4 linked regions of the Drosophila melanogaster genome follow. The protein of the gene in region 3 interacts with the protein of the main gene of each other region in a pairwise test. Each region holds a gene or a part of one and is shown on either strand. Other genes may lie near its edges.

Region 1 (3,906 bases), on a different chromosome or scaffold from region 3:
GGATAGTGTATTTGTGTATTTGTGGGAACTGTCCGCACTCATTTGGAAATATTTTCTCCTTGATATCGACAGATGCGTTTAAATGGCAAATGTAAACTCATTGATAGCACATTGGGTGCAAAAAGTGAATGTTTCATATGCACACACAGTAGCAGCGGGTTGCCAAGAGCAATTTGTCGGATGAATTCAATGAATTCAATTATTGCAAAACAATTAAACCAAGATGGGCCACTGGATAAAGGCAATAATTTATGGCGATTGCAAAAGGTTGAGAGCCAATGTGGACAACTTTAAGCAGACGTAAACAAAACTTGGCCGACGAAAGAAAGCCAGCAAAGTGAAAGCAAAGCACATAAATTAGGCGAGCGGCCAAAAAATTATGGGAAGATTAACTTTAAGCGCAGCTGATGACTTTTTAATACCCTGTACTACAACTGTAAGCCCCTGAAAACTTTCTGTGATAACCAATTTAAATCAAATTACCTATATATTACCTATAGCTAGTTAACTATAACTATCATAAAAATACTATTTTAAATGACGTTATTAATCCACCCTGGAGTTCAGCATTTCCAGAAAAGGTTGGTCTGAATTTATGTGAAATTCCCGGTAAAGAAAATCGCTTTCCTCAGCACAAAGTTAAAAAAGCATAAACCTCATTTGGCCCATTTACCAAAACAAATCAAACGTGACCACAGACAATTTTTTTTTTGTACATTTTTCCGCTGCTGCGGGACAAAAAAAAAGAACGACAAATTATTGGCTTATTTGCGTTTTCAATTGGATTTTTATTGGCACACATATAAAAAGTTGAACTTTGCTTTGTTGCGCAGCGCGTTTTAAAGAAGTCGCACATAATCCCCCGACTTTGCAGATGACGCATACGCCCCGTTAACGGGCCATAAACAAGAACTGTCAATGTAATGTGTGGAGAACGTCCTGCGGAATGTCTGGCCATGGTTTTGCCGAGCAGTGAGTGGAGTTTCCCCAGCTAATGGGGGTCAGTCGGCAGTCGTCCGGCAGTCTCTTATCTACCCCCCAAAACTTTTTTGTTGCTGGGAGGTAAGTGTTTACATAAATTATGTCAGATGAGCAGCCCGGAAATGCTTGTCATCAATTTTTTGCGCTCCATCTATGTATGTATATGTATATATGTGCGCTTGTCTCGTATAAATCATTCTGGTGGGTGGGGAAAAAGCCAACCGGAATGCGGGTTTCGGCTGACAATTTAACATGCCAAACACGTTGGTTTTGGTTTGGGGCGATTCCGGGTTGTCTGCCCGTATCGAGGGCCTTAACCTATTTAGGGGCAATTATGGTGATGGAAATGGCGAAATGGCCCAGGAATTCTGCAGGGAAATCCCGGGGATGCTGAGATTTTTCTTTCACTCCTTCAATCACTCTTTATGGGCCAACTTATGGCTGGCAAAATCTCAGATTGAGGTCATTTTGTTGCCCGCAATTAATTAGCTAAAAATATCGCCACCAATCTGGAGACACTTGTTGGGGTTCCGTTTTCAATTGACTGCAATAATTGCAATGCCATTTTTATGGTCGATTGGATAATTGCGGGAGGAATGTGTCCTTCGCCTTGGTCCTTTGGCTCCATTCGAAAACTTCCCTGGCTTCTGTCCTGGGAATGGCTGGCTTTTAGTTATGTAATGGAATTGAAACTATTCAATTAATGTATACAAGTTCATATTAATAGCACAAGTTAATGATTTAATTTCAGTCATAAATGTCATTAGTTTTTACCATCGTTTACTGGTTAACTCTTGCCAAGGTCATAAAGTTCGCAAAAAATCAGTTTAAAAGCTAAGAATTGGGTGCGAGGCACGTTGCCGTCTTGTGGTCAAATTCTATGGGCTGTTGGGTTATATAAGCACGCCACTTGGCCAATTTGGGGAGCAGAACGCGCACGTCGCTGCCGCACCATTAACAATTGCTTCCACGATGAGACTGCACTTGGCCCTGATCCTTGGATTTTGCCTAGTTGGCTGGGCCCGCTCGCAGGGCACCAAGTACGGACTGTGGACTCCGGATCGGGCGCACTCCGATTCTCAGCCCATCCAGTGGACGGGCGGGCAATTCGAGTTCCCATGCGCCAGTACCAAGTCGCTCTTCAAGAGCTCCGGAAAGTTTATACCCAAGAATGTGATTGCCACGCGGGCGCAGCTCATTGGAGACACCATCTATCTGGCTCTGCCGCGCTACAGGAAGGGAGTTCCGGCCACGCTGGTGAAGACCAGTATCAAGCCGGGCACCTGCTCCACCACCTTTAAGCCCTATCCCTGCTGGGACCTCCAGGAGGAGGGCAACTGCAAGGCTCTGCAATCGGTGGTGGATCTGGTGGTAGACCAAAACGAGGTGCTCTGGGTCTTGGACACGGGCATAGTGAACACTCTGGAGACTCCGGTGCGCAAGTGCCCACCAAAAGTGGTGGCCATGTCGGTGAAGACTGGCAAGGTTCTGAAGACCGTCTCGCTGGAGGGCCTGACTTCCAGCAATTCCCGTCTCCAATATCTGGTAGTGGACTATGCTCCGGATGGCGGCTGCTTTGTCTACGTCAGCGATGCCGCCAATCGGGCCATCATCGTGTACAATCTCCAGGCGGATCGGGGATTCAGGGTGGTGCTGCCCAAGGCCGTTACCGCCGGCTGTCGGTCGAGGGATGTCCTCTACATAGCCCTCATCCGCCGGGACTGCGGCTCAACGGAACTGTACTTCACCTACCTGAGCACCAACAAACTGTTCTCCCTGAAGTCAGAGTATCTGAGGAGTGGAGTGGCCGATGGACGCATCTTGGGTGAGTTATATATTTCGAATTTCAAAGAAAACATTTATTAAGTTATCATAATATTCAGATCTCGGCAAGAAGCCCAGTCGCATGGTCATCATCGGCACGGACAACGGCTCGGCGATCTTCTTCCGCAACGAGGGCGACGCGGAGGTGTACCGCTGGGACACGAACTCCACATTCGTGGAGGCCAACTTCAAGCCGGTTTACCGCAGTCAGACCTGCCAGCTGGTGACCCATGCTGTGCCCGATTACAAGCGGAACACGATGCGAGTCCTGCAGAGCAATTTTCCGGATTACATGCAGAACCGCGTTGGATGCGGAGCCATTCAGCAGCTGGGTCTGATGCAGGGCTGTTGGTAACCATGTTAACACCCCATTTTGGCCACCACTCGTCCTCCACAAGCCAATCCGAATTGAAAGCTGAAAAACTGAATATGCCATTGCAGTTAGATTGGCAATAACCGAGAATGGGTCGCTCTTTGGACCCTCGAGTGCTCTTCGTATTTGGTATTGGTGTTTTGTACATAAACTAACGACTTTGGTCGCTATTGTTGTTATCTAAGCTAAGCAAATAAACGTTTCATATTCATACAGAAGGAGAGGCTAAATAATTGGGGCTACTGTCGCTGATAAATGGAATATTTCAATATGTAAATTGGTAGTCCACATACACTGTATATGCATGGATAGCAGTTTTTCTCTTTTAATAGCTTTTTGCATTGCTTTTATTGCACTTTATTTTACCTCTTAAAAACTTAATTTTATTTGTTACTGTTTCTGGCAACTTTACTCTGCCATAAAACTTGGGAACAACAGCGACATTAATTAAGCTAATTGGAACTGGTCCTCGTGTTAAAGTAGTCAGTAAAGTGCACAGATTATACTGCCATTCCCATATCTCTTCGCCCCTCACTGACGGAAAATCGAGAGGATCGAACTTCGTAACCTGGAGACGTTGGGTGTGGAAAAGGCCAGGCAAGTGTTAATTGGAAGTTGGCTGATAAATTGCACGGCATCCCTTGCAGTGGCTTCCGATTCCGTATATTTCGTCGACTCAATCGGAAAAACAGCCACAAGGCGCCGCGGGAAATTGCGCTCGATATAAA
Region 2 (4,078 bases), on a different chromosome or scaffold from region 3:
GAAATATAGATAATGCTATAGGAATAAAGAGAAAAGGATCTTTAAATATTTTAGATATAACTGTAGTTCCATTTCTATAGATATTTTAAGTAGAGGAAATTCTAGAATTTCTAGTTTCCGAGTGATCACTGTAGCTAGACCGTTTCAACCCTCCGATGGGCACACCCTCAAGCTAATCCGGCCATGCTCAACTGCTCGGCCTCACCTTGGATCCGCTGCTCTTGCCATCGCCTCCTTGCCATGGCGTTCGCACATCAAGTATATATTCCGGAACTATATGCCATAGCTGCAGTTTCCTGTTGTTGTTTGTCAACTGATTTAATTTCCTCCTCCTTTTACCGCTTTCTGCTCTGATCACCGCCTCCTGCTGCGAGAGGGCGTTCTCCGCTTTTGGCCACACAAACAAGACCGCCGGATAATGACGATGGTAATGATGATGGCGATGTTCAGACGATGGCGACTTGCAAAAGGGCAAATAACGGTGTAAATGAGAGTGTTGCTACTCGAAATCTTCGACCCCATGCGGCTACTTTGTGTGCAAGAGTGTGCCGCTGTGTGGAAATCGCTCATTAAAATATGAAAACCCGATTTGCATACATAAATGCTCTAATTCTCTTTACGTTCAATTTTAGGGCTTAAGAAAAATTCTTTAAAATTAAAATGAATATCGATATAGATAATGTAATGTTAATTTGACTCTAGATATAAAACTTCAAATAACCAAAGTTGGAGATGCAGACCTGTTTGCATTGTTAGATCATAAATAATGCCAAAAGTTCTCTGCAAACATTACGCAAAGTGGGGGGCGTGGGAGTGGGCGTGTGGCATGTGGGTGGGCGGCCAACTGCTTTGGCCATAAACAAGCCCAAACAATGCCAGACATTTCAAACACAATAAATAATTGAAGCCAGCGCAGAGTCAACAAGTCAAACACATTGCGGTAACACTGGCGATTGTTGCCAAGCGCTTTTGGCCACACCACAAAGTCCAGCTTTTCAGTCCGATCTAGATATAAATCAACTTGGCCATGCACATGCAGAACGCAAATCCAGCTAAAAGGCAAACAAACGGCTTTACAACTTTACAACTTGAAGAGGGGAGTGAAAAGTTAACAACGCTCATTTGGCGAATTTCCCAAGATATGTTCGGATTTTCAGCAGAGGGCGACCGCCCAGTTATCCATCACAATCGACAGTTTCCACGGGCTTTTCACACTGGAAAAATCAAAAAGACAATAAAGACGAGGCTTTTGCCAATTTCTTCCACAGGGTGTTGTAGTTACTTTCTATTTCTGTTTTTTAGCTTAGGCCAACATTATTGGCATACAATACTATTATTCAATCTATTTTATATCCCGTTTTATTTGTATTTTCCATACATTTTCCTTTTTTCCTACTCTTAAACTAAACTATTGCCATTAAAATTGCATCATGCTCTGCAGAACTAATTGGTAATTCCTGGTTTCGATAGATCCCCTCCCAGATGAGGATACCTCTGCGCTGAGGCTGGATTACAGCTGAAAAACTTTTGAAATAATTAAAAAATATTTTCGTCTTGGGCTTGGGCCTGGTGCAGGCAGAAACGGTGGAACTAAGTGCATATAGCATATATTCGTATATATAGAAAGCAAAAGTTGGCGCTCCAAGCGAAAGAGATCGAAACTGGTAAAACGACTTGGCAACACGACCGCGATACCAATACTCGCCCAAAGTTGACTTATTGGAGCACTTAGCTCGATTCTTGTTATTGTTACGCCGACTTGGCCGACTTGTTGTTGCCGTTAACGTTAATAGTACCAACACAATTACATAGCTTGGAGTGCCTAGGCGGAGTCGATCGGCGATCCAGCGATCCAAGGTTCCCGCTCGGACTATAAAAAGCTTGGGCGGCACCGTTGCGGAAGGCAGTTAACTCCACAAATCCGTTGCCGTCGGTCCCATTTCCCTCTTAACCGACTTGTAAGCGTAAAGGCGCGTGTGAATCCCCCTCGAGAAGAAGATAAAATTGTGTGCAGTTTACGCTTGACAAGGATATTCCCCACACCAAAATGTTCAGATTTGTGAGTTGTGTTTTATTCAAGGCTGTTCGAACAATTTAAAAGCTATTAAGAGAAAAGTAATCAAACTGACGGACAAAAGTGTCAATTCAAACCAGGATATTCTAGAGTACACATTAAATAGTGAAAGTCTTACCTTATAATACGTTAAGTGATAATGACTCAGATTAAGGAATTGGCAGCACACAAATACTTGATTGTACAATAAATTTTGAATTCTTGACAGCTTGCACTGACCACCTTGGTGGCCCTGGCTTCCAGCCAGCACTATCACCAGGATCCCAAAACGGCGGCCATCATCAGTGAGCAGCGTTATCTGTCCGGAGATGGAAAGTTCGGAGCTGCCTATGAGCAGGAGGATGGCATCAACTTCAAGGAGGAGACGGATGCGGATGGAACACGTCATGGCAGCTACAGCTATCTGGATCCCACGGGCCAGAGGCGTACTATTTCGTACACAGCTGGCAAAAATGGGTAAGCACTTTCTATAGAACAAATACCCGAACTTGTATTAATTTGGTTTTTATTCCGAAATAGTTTCCAAGCTTCTGGAGATCACTTGCCCCAGGCACCACCTGCTCCACCACAGCCCGTGCCCACAGCGGGATATCAGCCACAGCAGCAGTACCAGCCGCAGCAGTACCAGGCTCCCGCTCCCCAGCCGCAGGCCAGTTTCCGCAGCAATGACTACGGAGATGATGGTTCCTACGATCCCCGCTACAACGATCCCTCTTTCGGACAGAACCAGCAGAGCTACCAGCAGCCCGCTGCCCAGCCGCAGTACCGTCCTGCTCCCCAGCCCGCCTACAACCCACAGCCCGTGCAGCCGCAGCAGCAGTACCAGCCTCAGTATCAGCAGCCCCAACCCCAGTATCAGCAGCCGCAACCCCAGCAGGCGTACTACACCACCACCACCCCCAACCCACACCGCTTTTCGCCACCCGGCAAACTGTCCCTGAACCGCACGCCCGATGGCTTCACCTACTCCTTCAACAAGGTATAAGCCCCACTGTCCTCCACTCAGACATTATGCATCTTCTTCATTAGTAGGGATCCTCTTTCTTCTTTTCCAACTTTCCCTATCACAACTAGAACCCCTACTCTTTTCTTGACTCCATCAAACTCTCGTGTGATATGTTTAAGAGCAATTGTATCGTACTTCCTATATGCGTACTGTTTGTTATTAATTTATAATCCTACACAGAGAAAATTAATCGCTGCTGCCCAATGGGTATTGCTGATTTAAATTACAAAATATATTCAAAATATCATTTGCATATTTTTGAAATATGAAAAAACTCAAGAAATGTCGGCCTTTTTCTCTGTGACTTTCCCATTAAACTTTAATCTTTCCATTTAAGTCTTCCCAAGAAAAGAGAAGTCAATAAACTTCGATGATGTTGAAAAATGATCAAAATTAATTTAGAAACTATGTTAATTTGGGCCTTGGGACGTCTGAGCAATTTGTACTATAATCGAGTAAAAACAATATATGAAGGAAACCAAGTTCGTGTCCTGCAGTCTTTTGTTTTTCGGCCAGTGGCCGCTTATTTAATTTCCAGCAGATTTATCTAAACACCTCGGGTGGTGAACGCCCACTAAATGCGGCATTACACAACCGACTTTCGTACGTGCAAAACAAGTTTCGAGTTTCTGTTACGATTCTATGCGGCCAACAAGGAAAGACCTCAAACGGGTTTCGCTCATTTGACAGTAATCTTGGCCAATTGTGCAAAATTCCGATGAAAATGAAATCAGCCTGGTGTGCTGGTGCTGGCTAAGCCGGAAAACCATGTGCAAGTGGGGGTGGCACTGGTTCATTAGGGGATTGGGGCTCTAAATCAATTCCCAATGGTATTGCGATCCGTCAGGCTCCAGTTGCGTTAGTGCAACTTAATAACATCCAAATGTTTTGCATATTTTATGCACCATCGAACGCAAGAATGCCGCCAGCTAATTTGCTATTTCCTCTCACCTGCTGAGTTCTCAGCATATGTGTGTTATAGTTTACAACTTAATTCG
Region 3 (5,270 bases):
CACAGGCATTTGCATAATGGAGATGATTTGGTGAAGAAGAGGGTTTGGGGAGCCGCCAGAAACCACAATTATGCAATTTCCTGGCCGTCTCTAAGCACTTAATTATGGTTATTAAAAATTTGGCAAATAGTTTCTTCGCCTTTGTGCGCCCGATCATTTGCACATAGTTAGCTTGAAGCCAGACGCATGTGAAACATCGGAATTGGCCATATCATTATGGTTAAAATAAATTGTATATTTACATACATACATACATATATGCATGTTCGGATGTGGCGTGCCAGCTCTTAGCCAGATTTGCAAATCGGCAACGAGTTGAACGAACGATGGTAGCAATATTTTGACCATCATCATCATTCAAGAGATGACAAACTGCTAAATATTGAAGCAAAAACGTGGAAAAAATAAAAGAAGTGAAGAGAAAGGCAGCCATATGAACCACATTGAATGATTAACACTCTTTAATAGCATTAATGTCTTCATTTGTTTAATTTACTAATTGATTTCGCCAAACAAAACGCTGTATTTTAATGCTTATTGGCTAGTAACCAGAATAACTTGGCTTTGGCTTGGCCAGTAAGTAATAAAAGCCAACAAATGGTAAATAATAGATGGTGGTATCATATCGGACAGTGAATAAGGTCAGTTATAGTTTATTCAGTAGGGGTTTTAGTAAGCGATCAAACTAGTACCCAAAATGAATTAATAAAGGCAAGATAGCAAAGGAAAGAGGTTAGTATTTGCTGGTCAAACCGCCCGTTTTGAGGTCAAACCAAACCCCCTTGAGGGAGTTGGGGTAAATAGTTTTGCTTGCACTTAAACGAAATCAATGCGATTAAAATCGACTTGGCCCAGTCTTGCGGACGGCCAACTGAACTAGCCTTATCAACCATCGAGAATCGGTGTCAGCTAATCGAGCACCCACAACTACAACAACAAACCGCTGTCCCCAATAGTGGAGCACCACTTGGTCATTCCGACCACGTCGCATGGAAATGGAAAACGAGACGAAAACAGAAATGGAAACGGAAAACAAACCTAGAAGCCGAAACCAAAACAGAATAAGAAGCAGCGCCACTCCAAACATGGTCAACGAAATTTGTTTTGTGTTTTGTCACTTTCTCAGCCCAGAACCAAAGAAACACAAACGCGTCATATGGGTGCGCCCTTCAGAAAAATGTGCACAATAATGGGCAAAAGTGTACATGGCTTATAAAGTATTATTCTTACAAATACTGTGACTATAAATCGGATTTAATAACAACTAATCAATTCAATGGACAACTCAGCATTTGCATTATATTAAACCTCTAATGTGAACGCGCTTATGATATTCAAAGTTCAAAGTGTTATTTAGTCAAATAAGGTAATATGTCTGCTAGTAATTTGCCCCCTGCTGTAGTAACTATGTACGTCATTTGCAGGGGTTCTGAACCCAACCCATAGCAGTGGTTCACGTTACACTCGAGCACGTTCTTATCGCAATTAATTGCAGCGCATTGCATAAGCATCGCAAACTTATAGGGTGATACCAAAACGTAAACATAATCTCTGACTCAGCCCAGTGGGTAGCAATTATTAATTATAATTAATAAGCCAAAAGCCAAGGCAAGTCTTGCTTTGATTGGCCAAAAACGCAGCCAGAAGCGGAAAACAAAAACTGAGTCGAATTACACCACAGTTCAAGGGATACAAAAGGGAGTGGGCTGGGGGTCGATATCTGGCTAAGATCGGTGAGCTTACCCAGCCGGATCGGCACTGGAGCGCATCTGAGTGTGTCCACGTCAGCGGGCATCCAAAACAGAGCAGAAATCTTGAGATCCGAGTAATCTAGATATTGTCCTTCAAGTCAGTATTGTGCCACTCAACTGATCAACTTAAGTAGCTTGGAAATTTACATCAAATTATGACAAGTTGTTAGAAAAGTAGTATATACATATTCCTTGGCACGGGCCTTAAAGTAATATACATTTCTTTCTTATAAAATGTTTAATTTTATTACTTGATTTACTTGCAGTTGCATCTGAAGTGCAAGAAGGAAACAAATTAAATATTCACTAGGGCGGAATACTAAGGAAAACTCAAGCCACACACTGAGGAAATCAAAGTAGGAACAACTAAAACTGTAAGTAGTAACGCAAGGAAAATAAGGGAAATTGGGAAAAGGGAAAACAAGCAACATCAACATCTGCAAATCATATGCAGAGCGTCACTCGCATATGGATATGAGATTTCAGATTTTCGTGACCATATCCGGTTGCCAGTCAGCAGTTGCAACTGCAATTGCAGCTTCCATCAAAACAATAGCAAAAACCAAAAGACGAAATGCGGAGCGAACTGAAAACGCAACTTGGGTCTTTTGGGGCCCAGGGAAATCGCATCTTGGCATTCGCCATTGTTGCTATGGGGATTTTTTTCTTTTTTGGCGGGGGGTGTACAATAAATATAGGGTGGAAGTTGCGTAAAACGATGATATGATATTCACACATAGATCGGGCGATAACATCAATAACTAAAGATGATGTGGAAATCAGAAGGTTCAAATGATGTGCCTATAAGGTTACATACATAAATAAATAGATAAATACATACTCTTACATACATACAAAGGTTGTTTTCTAGTCTAGCAAATGATGTTTTAAATAAGAGAAATGTATTTGTAAGAGTACATAACTTGTATCATAAATTAATAATATTATTAAGACTCAACAATGGTTTGGTCTAAAATAATCCACCATTTGATTCAGTGTTTTGAATCCAAATTAAGTTAAGTTTGTTTTTGTTTTGATTTATATCCAGTGTTGAATAAGCTTTTCATGTACTGTGTGTGTGTGTGTGTGTGTGCATATGTTTATGTTCATCTTATCTTGTTTATCTAGCATTGTATAATTAGGTTTAGATTTTGTTAGAATAAGTTTAGATACATCCAGTGCTGTATAATGTTCCAATAACTACATATTTATCTAGTATTGCATAATTCATTTTAGTGTTTAAATAAGTTTAGATAAATCCAGTATTGTTTAATTTGCTGATGAACTTAGCAGTGATTGGCCGAAAGTGGGAAACCTAACCTCATGTTCTAGAAAAAGAATCGCCAACAAATTTCAAGTAAGCAGTGCCTTCTGTCAACTCGAATGTCATTTGGAATTGCCTGAGCTCTATTCAGTTTCGTATACCTCCGGATTACACGTACTAACGTTTGAAAAAAAAAAAACTAAAATTCCAATCAAAATGCCACACAAAAAATTTCCCAGAATGTCACAGGCGCAACTCAAACGTTTGATCAAATCACAAAATCAGAACATAGCAAAGGCCGCGTGTATTTTGGAACCCCCAAAAATTATACAGCAGCCGTCGATGAGGCAGTCCATCATTCCACCGAATCCTGCTTATAGCAAGAAACAGGGCAAAAATGCGGCTCGCCCAAATTCCGAGCGAGCTGGAAAGGTGCCAATGCAGGGGCTGAACCACGTGGTGCCGGAGGACACTGTGAAACAGGTGAAGCAATAAGTATAGTGCAAAAAGCGGGCTTATCGCATAAAATAGTACTTTCAGCATAATCAATCTAAGCAGATGCAACGCAATCGAAGGAATCCATCGTCGAAGATGCAACAAAATGGCAATGAAGCATCCAAGCAGGAGAAGCCCAATCAGCACGAGGACAAGAGCCGTCCCAAGCAGTTGTATTCAAGCGTTGTGGCCAATAAGCAAGACGGGCCCACCGCAGTGAATGCTCCTCCACCCAAGGAGGGCTCATCTGTCAATCAAATTGGATCGTGTTGTCATCATGGCAATGTTTCGGGCGAAAAGCAGAAATGTCCGGATACCAGCTCATCATCCGCCACGTTCACTTGGCCCAGTCAATCGGTTAAAAGCCAGGGGTTTTTCGGAACTAGCGATTCTTCAGCTGACCCATTCAGCATGCAGAATCTGAAGAAGATTGCCCGGGATTTCTTCTCATATCCGGAGTTTCATCCACCGGAGGCCAGCGAAAACATTGCCGCTGCCAATGGCTCCAAGAAAGCTGAGCCCTCGAGGACGAAATCCCAGCCGGGTCTCAACTCTTCGCCGAGAGGCTCTGCCTTGGGTGCCGATAGGTCGGGCCATCCTCAATCGATTGCGGGTGGAACGAATTCTCGCCGGAAGGATTATCCATTGGAGGAGGCCTTCATGACCGTAATCCGCAATCTGCGCGAAAATTATCCGGGCAATGATTCGATTTCATCTTCAAATCGCCCGAATATCCAATTTGATAACTACCAATCGGCGCAAGGTTTCGGCTATGGTTCCAATTCCTATTACAACGCTCAATCGACATCCGCTTACGGCTATCCTCCGACTGGTTTTCCGATGTCCCAGCAGTCAGGCTTCATGCCAAAGTATAACCAAATGCCGACGGCTAATGGTTCAAATTTAAATCAACCGCCATTGATTAGCGAAACTTATCAGGCCGAAGCGCAGCAGCATCCTTGCTGGCCGGTATATATTCCGGAATATGTTTCGCATTTTATGTTCGGTGAGCCACAGGACGCCAATGCCAGCTGCTCTCGTAATTCAAACCACGGCAACAAGATGTAAAATAGAATCCGGAGGGAAATCGGAATAGTGTAGCATTTAAAAATCTATTCATCATTCAACACCATTCGAAAAAAATTGCTAATGTAATACACAGACCAATTCCGTAATCCTAATCATTTATTTTGCATCTATGTATTAATAAACATTTGTAATGTTACAAATATTTTCCATATATTTGTAAGCCAATTACACTTAACCATCTTTTGTAATGATGCAATCCGAAGATAAACAAAAAATGTATGCATCTCAACTACCTCAATTAGAATTTAAGTAAAATGTGTAATGATGATGATGTATAAAGAAATGCCATCAAATTTCACTTTCAACTCGGCGGAAGAAAGTGAAAAACATGCGAAAAAAGAAATTAATGAAAAAATCGAGCAGCTTACCAACAATTGAAATAAAGGAAAAAATCAACTAGTCAGCGTCGATTGTTTGGTGGTCAGTTGTTTGGTTTTCTACTATTACCAAACCAATGCCAACAAAAGAAATTTTTTTCTTTTTTCTTTTTTGGCCAAGTAAAATAAGAAATCAAATAAGATGAATCTTGCCTTATAAAATGTGAAATTTTCCTGCCATTATGATTAGAATTTGGGCTTAAGCTCATTATCTAATCAAAGATATTGATAACACCTGCGAAAAAGCAATTGAAGAAACTTACGATTGATTGATATACTTAATGTGATCGAATT
Region 4 (3,472 bases), on a different chromosome or scaffold from region 3:
CCTGCACCAATCCCGAAGGCGTTCCACTGACCGGTACCCGAGCATCCGCACCATCACCAAGACTCTTCACCCCGATCTCAGACCCATCCACCGACTTTCCATCGACATGTTATATATTATTCAATAAAGTTTTTTACCCGACATAAGTAAATGGTTTCAAAAAGAGAGAAGAATCACCATGAACGGCATTCCACGTAGTGACGAAGCGCACCAGAGAGTACAAAGACAACTTCTATCTGCTGTAGTTGTCTTATTATATTGTGTGATAACCAATAGAAAGGCAGCATAAAAAGTAAAGAGATTGAACCGTAAAATAATCTAAGAAGATAATGAGATAAAAACATACGAAGATAAACTGAAATGATAATACCCGTTACTCGAAAGTAAAATGGAATACTAGGAAAATTATGTAACAGGTAGAAGGAGGCGTTTCACACCATATAAAGTATATATATTTTTAAAAGCGATCAATAGCAGAGTATGTCCGTATGAACGCCTCGACTTCAAAAACTAGAGAGTTAAGATTAGATATGAAGATTCCAGAGGCCCACAAACGGCCTAAAACTGCCACGCCCACACGTTTTGAACAATTCAATAATTTTTTTCATATTATTATTTGTTTCCAAATTTTTACCGATATTCAAAAAAGTATTGAAATATATCGGTCACACTTCCAGCTGAGTATAGCATTCTCTCTTTTTAAAATAAGACTGGGAATTTGTTTGGTTGTTTGTCTGTCTGCAAATGCACCTCAAATAAATAATGTCATAAAGCGTCCCGAACGAGTAACTTTTAGATATTGTATTGTCTTAGTTGAATAAAAACTCTATTTTCGTCACAACAGTTAATATTAGAAGCTTGGATTGTTAAAGGTGCGATAGTCACTAGCATAAATCTCAGAAGAGGCTATTCTGTTTGATTACAAATTAATCTTAACTTTCAAACCAAATTTGTGAGGATACTGTGCGGTCTAACTGATCTGAAAAACAAACTATTCAAGCTCTTATATTAGATGTTCGGCTTGCACATTTAAATACCATGAAATGTATCTATAGGAATTATAAATTTTAAGTAAACTTTTAGTTTATATGCCTATACAGACAAGTAAATATCCTCTTTAGGTTAACATTAGGTTTTCTTAACAATTTTAATTGTCACTAAAAAACTATGTATTTCGGTAGCCTCCTATATGGAACAGGTCTTATTATCTTATTTAATTTTACGAAATATAAAAAAATAATATAAGGCGCTATGCATATGAAATATAATGTAAAACACACTTGAATTTGTTTAAAAGCAAACTGCAACCTGTTCGTCGAGAGGAATTGATAAAAAAAAGAAGAAATGGTGCCAAGGTAGAGACACACGTTTATATATTACAAAACATCGAGTCTAAGAAGTCGGCGATGCTTTGTAGTCCATGGAGTCTTGATGGGACTACAAAAGTGGTTCACGGCCTGGCAATGCCAAGTCAAGCTCAAAGGAGGGGATTTAATGAAGGGGCGGGTCAAACTCGTTTCGATTTCGGGATGCCACCCGACCCGTTTGCCCCTTATTGATGCGATTGTTTCATTTTAGCATCTATTAAGCGATTATATATAGTACTTATCCCGTTGTTTGGCATTTGCTAAGCTGTCGCATGTGACGATGCTTTTTAATGGGTGTGGGCGCATCCGCGAAGTCAACCCATAACTCAGCGAACCAATTGAATGCAAGATGTAGCGTTTTGATATGGGTTCACTTTGGGTGGCAATCATATAAAAAGGCTCTGCCCGACCACAATCAGTTATCAGTCAACGTTCGTTCTCGACCAGACAGAAGTCAGCCAATATGTTCAAGTTTGTAAGTGTCCGCAGGATACGAACCAACATACTCGATCCCTAACGAATGCCTATTTCTCCTTCAGGTCATGATCTGCGCAGTTTTGGGCCTGGCGGTGGCCAACCCCCCGGTGCCCCATTCCCTAGGCCGTTCGGAGGATGTCCACGCCGATGTCCTTTCCCAATCCGATGATGTTCGTGCCGATGGATTCGATTCCAGCCTGCACACCTCCAACGGAATCGAGCAGGCCGCCAGCGGTGATGCCCATGGCAACATCCACGGCAACTTCGGCTGGATCTCACCCGAGGGCGAGCACGTCGAGGTTAAGTACGTCGCCAATGAGAACGGATACCAGCCCTCGGGAGCCTGGATCCCCACTCCTCCTCCAATCCCAGAGGCCATCGCCCGCGCCGTCGCCTGGCTGGAGTCCCACCCACCAGCACCCGAGCACCCCCGTCATCACTAGAACCTCTATGAAAGCGGATCGCACTACGGACTGTTCCCCGAAGACCTTTCGAACTATTAGCTTAAGTAATCGTACTGTTTGTAAAATACACGCAATTGTTAACGGCAGAAACCAGTTTGCAACCTTGACTTTGAATTTGGCAAACAACTGTAACGGTTTCGAACCCGTCCTACCCGTTTACCACCTTCGATTTACTTAGTTGTTTAGCACGTTCAGTACAATATGGTAATGTGGTCTCTACCTGGACCGTAAACCGAATTCACAACAAAGGTACACCAAAAACAAAATATGCTCAAGTATATAATGTGCACACTTTGTACTTATTAGAGTACATGTATCTTCATTATCTAGAGTTTTATCCATTTACACTTAGGAATGCAGCTGATATCAAATTAGTCGGTAATATGTAACACATTTATTCTCTCAAGGAACTTGAGCAGGTTATTTATCATATATCGTATATTTTCAATGGAAATGGAATAGATTTGTGATTTGGCTGTCACATACAACATCAGAATTAAGCGGTGTTCACTCCTCAGTGGGAATTGTCTTTAAGCCTTTTTGAAACCGTCTCCAGATTCCATCAGAAATTACTGTCAATAAACGTTTTTGGCCTTAATTCGTATCGGTAAAACAGCTGATTCGTTTTAATTTGCTTGCTGACAATATTTTGAATAACTTAAATCTGCCCTAGATTTTAATAGAGCCTGTCGAAAAGGCAACTTTAACATTTCGAATAATTATCACGGCCACAAACCCGATTGCCAATTCTGGTTTAAAGAGAATTAGCTTTGAAACTGATTGGCAAAAAGCGTGAATTTAAAAATCGGAAAAGGCATAAAGCCAGAATTTGTCACCAAGCTGTTAAAATGATAATTTGTACTGTTCTTATTTTCAATAACAATGTTCTGAGTAACATAACCAGTTGAGATCCGGTAGGCGATTCTTATTAAAACCCCAAACTGAAAACATCTGGAGTGAATCCCAAATGAAGGGGCATGACTGTGGGCTCGATAAGCAAAGGTGTCGATATATGTACTTTGCTTAGCGATTAGTTAAGTCGACTTACTTTGGTTCGAGTTCTTTTAGGATTTATAGGGAATATATTCTATAACTAGGCAGCCTAACTTAAAATAACGATACATATAAATAAAAGCAAATACGAAAATGTAAGCCAAATGCCCC

Evidence for each region.
Region 1: the proteins of CG12992 (region 3) and yellow-g2 interact in a two-hybrid assay, tested with the Drosophila melanogaster proteins (one large-scale study listed by BioGRID).
Region 2: the proteins of CG12992 (region 3) and Cpr100A interact in a two-hybrid assay, tested with the Drosophila melanogaster proteins (one large-scale study listed by BioGRID).
Region 4: the proteins of CG12992 (region 3) and Lcp1 interact in a two-hybrid assay, tested with the Drosophila melanogaster proteins (one large-scale study listed by BioGRID).

The regions. Positions count from the first base shown.
Region 1 is NT_037436.4:2,274,645-2,278,550, forward strand, and holds yellow-g2 (yellow-g2), read left to right. Parts: upstream 1-1,905; 5' UTR 1,906-1,953; coding exon 1,954-2,806; intron 2,807-2,864; coding exon 2,865-3,160; 3' UTR 3,161-3,394; downstream 3,395-3,906.
Region 2 is NT_033777.3:30,865,625-30,869,702, forward strand, and holds Cpr100A (cuticular protein 100A), read left to right. Parts: upstream 1-1,896; 5' UTR 1,897-2,047; coding exon 2,048-2,059; intron 2,060-2,282; coding exon 2,283-2,530; intron 2,531-2,593; coding exon 2,594-3,059; 3' UTR 3,060-3,560; downstream 3,561-4,078.
Region 3 is NC_004354.4:17,586,971-17,592,240, forward strand, and holds CG12992 (uncharacterized protein), read left to right. Parts: upstream 1-1,894; 5' UTR 1,895-1,960; intron 1,961-2,017; 5' UTR 2,018-2,125; intron 2,126-2,987; exon of another isoform or gene 2,988-3,044; 5' UTR 3,045-3,231; coding exon 3,232-3,498; intron 3,499-3,546; coding exon 3,547-4,578; 3' UTR 4,579-4,736; downstream 4,737-5,270.
Region 4 is NT_033778.4:8,429,560-8,433,031, reverse strand, and holds Lcp1 (larval cuticle protein 1), read left to right. Parts: upstream 1-1,788; 5' UTR 1,789-1,830; coding exon 1,831-1,842; intron 1,843-1,906; coding exon 1,907-2,287; 3' UTR 2,288-2,917; downstream 2,918-3,472. UniProt on the Drosophila melanogaster protein: Component of the larval cuticle.